Linked DNA regions of Yarrowia lipolytica. The protein of the gene in region 1 binds, or shares a complex with, the protein of each later gene. Links are inferred from orthologs where the notes say so. Each region holds a gene or a part of one and is shown in the gene's direction. Other genes may lie near its edges. The genes, in order: YALI1_B18205g and YALI1_C00962g.

Region 1 (3,001 bases):
TATGCTGATCTGTCTGCGTAGAGAAGCTGTTGTACCAGACGAGTATGCACGTATAGCATGTGTCGATAACGGCTGTAAGTACGAGTATGTATTCGTACGGTACAGTCATATATTCGAGTACGTGTATATGTGTCGCACATCATTAGTCGCGCGTACGCTATAGGTAGGGTCAATAAATTATCATTTATGTTACATGCTGAAGCAGTATCAGTTTCCATCACCCTCCTTCAACTTCTTGGTAGTGCCACGGTCCTTCTGCTCGTCAGCTTTTCGCTTAGGGCCTAGTTGCAATCCGCTGCCCCTCTCCAGCTGTGTGAACGTGCCTGAGGCAAAGAATTTGTTATCCTGGGTGGCCGTCTTGGGTCCCTTGGGTTTACTAAGCTCCATAGACTGCGCCGTAACAGACAAAGACGACTGAAGACCGTCGATCATAGGTTTGGGACGGTTCTTGAGCATCTCCAAACGCGATCGAGCCCCCTTGGACATTCTTGCACGGGTCTTGGAATCAGCTTCAACTCTTCGAGCTGATCCCAGGCCAGCAGCAGAATCCAACATTCCCAGACCCACGGTCTCTCCGTAAACGTCCACAGTCTTTTCGGCCTCTCCGAACGCCATTCGGTTGGCAGCAGCAGCCATTTCACTCTGCTTGAACTGCTCCTTGAACTTTCTGATCCGCTTTCCACCTCGCTTCTTTGAGGGTTTGTCGATAGGAACAGGTAGGGCCTTGACTCCCTTTATCTCCGGGGGCTCTGCTAGTTTCTGCAACTTTCCTTCAATCTCCTCTCGCATTTTAGATCCGAACGATCCATCTGTAGATGCTCTAGAGGCATCCAAACGGGCTGCAAGTACTAGCTTGGCTGACAACATTCGCATGGCCTGCTTTCTGATATCAGCAGGACTCTGTTGTACCACATCCGAGTAATACAAGTAACCCTGCTGTCTTTGTGCTTGTCCAAACCCCACCGCAGTCTCTCGCTTAGCTCCTAGAGAAGGTATGTTGCAAGAGGGGGTCTTTGCCAGACCGTTGAGACCACCCACAAATCCAAGAATCTGAGCTGCACAATGAGCACCAATCAGAATGGCCGTATTGGGTGCAACGAGGTTCAGTTTCGAGGAGACATAGTTAGTGATTTGGCGCTTAGCAGCGTCCAATGCTATCAGTAGCTTACAAGCTTCGTTTATAGTGGCCATCTCAACGTCCGAGAGTCGTCGTCCCCCTTGGTCCACAGTCATGGTAATAGTCATCATCACTGACTTGTGCACCACCTGTTTTAAGTGCGGGCTATCTGACTTTGCCACTGCTGCGGGATCGTTTCCAAGAATGGCCACTACCTGTGCATGCTGTAGTGGGTTGGCGATGAGTGATCTGAGCTCGGGGTACCGCTGGCTGTATCTAGTGGCGATGAAGTTGTGCAGCTCAGCTACTGCGTTGTCGATTTCCACCGAGTACTCGTTTGCTCCCACAATCACATGGTACTCTGGATTCTCTTCTAGATTTGATGTGAGTGCGAGAGTTGACTGAGTGGCACCACTTTCGTACAGAGAAATGCTTCTGAGTTGTGGCAGAAGTCTGGGGACCATTGCTGCCGAGTTGGTGGACCCCAGCAGGTCCAGGTTGATGTTATTGAGTGGAGTAGGCGACAGAGGTTCTGTGGTTTCGGTTGCAATGACTTCAGTTGGGATCTGGGAAGTCGCATCTTCCATCACCTCGTCCACCTCTTCATTTTCTTCGTCGCTGGAGCCAAAATCGGCCAGAATTTCGTCAGCCAGGCCCATTATGTCGTTGTGGGGGTGAGCTCAGCCTTTTGATGGTGATACAGTAATTGAGGGAGGATGCAATATTTAGAGTTATGATCTTTTCGAACACTTAGAGTTCCGATATGCAGTGGACTTCGAAGTGCAAAGACACCGTGAAACGCGTTATCACAACTACAAGTATTCCTGAACGACACTCAAGTTCCTCTGGAAGCCCTGTAAAAAAAACATGAGCAGAGTCAGCATGTTTCCTACGGAAGACAAACGGTCTTATTTCGAGCGACAACGGGACCAGTACATCAAAAACATCTCGGCCAGCATGGAAGACGTGCTCAACAACCTGAACGCGCTGAACCGTTCGTTGGAACACACTGTGGGCCTGTCTCAAAAGTCTGAAGAGCTCGCAGAAATGTGGAGCCACTTTTACAACACCGTGAATGAGGATCTGGTGAAGACGGAGGACGGAGACATCGAGGTAGACACTACCAAAGAGTAGTGTAATTTGGAGTTGCGAGTTACGAGTAAGGGCCTGATGGACTTGCAGACGATTATTTATAAATGTATTCTAATGAACTGATGAGTGCTTTGAGATGAGTAAATGGCCGGTTTTCAGATTTCGAGTTATGTGATCTAGGTCTATAGTACAAGTATCTACTTGTAGGATTAAAAATTCTACTCTACAGTTTGTACCTCCGTAGATGAACTGGGCCACTGGCACAGTATGCACAAGTAGAGCTACCACACAACTCCTACATTATATGTACTCGTACATATAATAATACGGCTGCTACCGTTCATTGCCGTTACACAGACGTCGCGCCCTCTTGTATCCTTCTCATCATAATGCATTACTATATCACCCCTTGTTAGCTGTGGTTGATGCTTTCTACAACACCAAGCACTGGTGTCGTTTCTTCTTCTTCTTCTTCTCGATCGGTTCCGAGGCTGGTCTGGATTGTAATTTTGGACGTGTGGCTGACGCTGCTGCTGCCGCTGCCCCTTTACTTTGTGATCGCACAGGTTTGGTTCTCTTTGATCTCCCTTTTTCCTTCAGCACCGCTCCCATGGCGACTGCAAACACCTCTCTAACGCCAGACATGTCCTTTGATGAGCACTCCATGTATTTGTACACTCCGAGTCTCTGTGCCATGGATTTGCCCTGCGTCGGCGTGATGTGGCTCAGTCCCTGAGCTTTGAGATAATGGGCGGATGTGGAATCGGCTCTGAGATCGGTTTTGAGACATAC
Region 2 (2,778 bases), on another chromosome or scaffold:
TGTAGCCTGTTAAACTAACGTGAACTCATATATTTCCATCAGAGTCTGTATGGTGAACTCAGGTACAGTATGTTATGTACCATCTACAAGTACTGCCCTCCTCAGTCTACCTTTTGCAACAGGTTTGGAGGCCTGAAGTTCAACACCAGAGAACAACTGCTCAGTACAGTCACCAGAGCAATGCTCATAAGCGTCCTTCTACTGGGAATTGCCCATGTGATCTGGTACGGAGTAAGAAGCACCATTCGGTCGCCTCAGCTCCAAAAGAAATCCCGGGACTTACTGGTCGGTCTCTCAATGCCAAACCGTTGGCTACAGCAGTCGTCTTTGTCGGCGTAGTCTCTACCTCGACAAGGAAGTTCTCGTCTTCCATCTTCTTCAAGCTGTGGATGTTTTGCGGCCATTCTCATGAGTCCTCTGGTTTACTATTCTTCCAACAAATGAAGGTGAGGGCTCGCTAGGTCCATTATTAGTCATATGTAGATTCACTGGACACCAGACTACATTAATCGTCCCCCATCCTACCATACTGTAGAGAGTCATAACCGTTGATGATGTACTGCTAGGAGTAACACATTATCGTATTGACAGGTGTAACAAGTGCGACTGCCAGCACAGTGGCAATCCCACAAGACTTCAGTACGTACGCAAATTTAGAAACCATGCGACGATCCGGTACACGATGGGTCCCTGGACCCTCTTGTGATCTAAAATGGATATAATACATTCATCAATAAATACCAATTACCAAGGGGTGGCGGCTGGGTTAGTTTTGTCAAACGAGAGAGTTTGGTGGTTGCTTCGAGTGTTGGTGAGGCACGGTAAACGCCAGATGAGAGAACACAACAGAAAGAAGCACGTTCCAACTGGAGTCACCTCAACATAAGGGATCCCAGGTGCACAGAACAGAGTCAGATTAAAAAACACAGTCACACAACCAGAGTCGCTGAATAAGTCATGATACAGAGATACCCAAAGGTCGGAGATGTCGGAAGATAGGTCGGGTCAAGTCGAGTCCATGGTACTCCAAAGAGAACCATAACAAACCTACTTCCAGCCTACCATATCCCATCACTCCTCTGTGCACCCATCTGATTCACCATCCTGATTGTGTCAAGTCTTCCTTCTCTGTCACCATCCTGTTGGTGTCACATTCCCTTGTGTGTGACCACAGTCTCCAACATCGGTATCACGTCACCTAATCAAACCACGGCTAATCACTTGTGACCACACTGATCACACGTGATCGCTCGCGTGACAGGCAAACGCCAAATCACTTTTAATACTCACCCTGCTGAGTAGGCAACAGGTTGAATCGCTTCTTGAGAGTGACTCGCTGTCGAGAGTACTTGTCGTCGGGAGAGAATCGGGCGGGGTGGGCGCTCTTGGTAATCTCGCCAGACTCGGTGGTCTTCTTGAGAGTATAGACCCGCTTGCCGTCGCTTCCAGTAGTGTACATAAGATGCATTTTGAGGTGTTGTGTTGTGGTGAGATGGAGAGCTTTGACAAGATTTTTCATGTACCAAAAAAAAATTGTCCCAGTGCGCAGAACCTTAACTTTATTGGAAGGTGAAGAAGATATTTGTAGATGTTACCGATGGGCTACAAGAAGGGAGATAATGGAACTATGAGTAGATAATATGAAGGAGAAATCCCCAAGGTACGACCTGGTACTTTTAAAATATCAGTTGCATCTCTACAAGAAGACATACATTGAAACAACCGAAAATCACCCCAAAAAGAGATACTAATGTTAATAAAAGTACCCATATTTGCTTTAGAGATCATTTTAATTCCCATATATGTTGAACAAATCAATTTGAGTAGCTACTCACTCTACAGCTCTCTTTTGACTATTACCGTCCACTTCTAGATCACGTGACCTAAAACCTTAATGCCACACACTTTCAAACTCTAAGCAGACGGTGCACAACATGACGAAACCACACTAACAACGCGACTCAACACAACAATGGAAAATCCCCACGAAAAGGACCAGTCCGACGCTCTTGCGCGCATCATTTCTGGCGTTTCCAAGCTCAACTCGTCCATCGCACGCGTCAACGAGATCCAGGAAGAGGTCTATTCACGCAACCTTAACCTCTCGGTGGTGTCTGAAATCATGCAGAACTACCAGGCCTCGGTGGATTACTATTTGCGAGAAAGTGGAGCCATGAAAGAGCCGTTCAAGAACGATGATTAGCAGGTTTACGTGACCGACAGTATGGATGGCTGCGGCTGTTTCTTTAGTCAGCAAACATATGAGCTGTGTGCTGTACGGGTACAGTACTGCGGACGGCTACGGGGCAACCCAGTCACGTGGTATGTTGACTGTGAGATGCGGTTCTGGCTACTTTCTCTGCGACGTGATTCTTTTACCGCATATGTATTTATATTTATTGATCTAATGACATCAGTTGTGATTATGTGGAGTACCATACCATATCAACGCAAGAACGGCACAATAACAGCACAAGAACGGCCCAAGAACGGCCCAAGAACGGCACAAGAACGGCACAAGAACGGCCAAGAACGGCCAAGAAGGACATTGTACTCGTACAGTAACAATAACATATATTACCAGCATTGCAAGGTAATATTCTAGCGACAAGAGGTACTTTGCTTTACTGTATGTACTTACACTACATGTTTTACCCACACGAGTTCGATACAGTTATACAATCTACTGTAAAGTACTGTACTGTAAATTCCAAGTAAATTGTCAACTATGAATTCACGACTGTGTCCGAGGAAACTACGAGAATACAGAATATCATT

The links.
Region 2: YALI1_B18205g (region 1) and YALI1_C00962g share a complex: the UniProt entries of both Saccharomyces cerevisiae proteins name them as parts of the DASH complex. The link is inferred for Yarrowia lipolytica from reciprocal best matches to the Saccharomyces cerevisiae genes DAD1 and DAD4.

Annotation. Positions count from the first base shown.
Region 1 is NC_090771.1:1,819,534-1,822,534, reverse strand, and holds YALI1_B18205g (uncharacterized protein), read left to right. Parts: upstream 1-1,984; coding exon 1,985-2,251; downstream 2,252-3,001. Other genes in the region: YALI1_B18207g (uncharacterized protein), read right to left, coding at 208-1,776; YALI1_B18190g (uncharacterized protein), read right to left, coding at 2,642-3,001. UniProt on the Saccharomyces cerevisiae protein: Component of the DASH complex that connects microtubules with kinetochores and couples microtubule depolymerisation to chromosome movement; it is involved in retrieving kinetochores to the spindle poles before their re-orientation on the spindle in early mitosis and allows microtubule depolymerization to pull chromosomes apart and resist detachment during anaphase.
Region 2 is NC_090772.1:94,296-97,073, forward strand, and holds YALI1_C00962g (uncharacterized protein), read left to right. Parts: upstream 1-1,972; coding exon 1,973-2,203; downstream 2,204-2,778. Other genes in the region: YALI1_C00958g (uncharacterized protein), read right to left, coding at 1,280-1,519. UniProt on the Saccharomyces cerevisiae protein: Component of the DASH complex that connects microtubules with kinetochores and couples microtubule depolymerisation to chromosome movement; it is involved in retrieving kinetochores to the spindle poles before their re-orientation on the spindle in early mitosis and allows microtubule depolymerization to pull chromosomes apart and resist detachment during anaphase.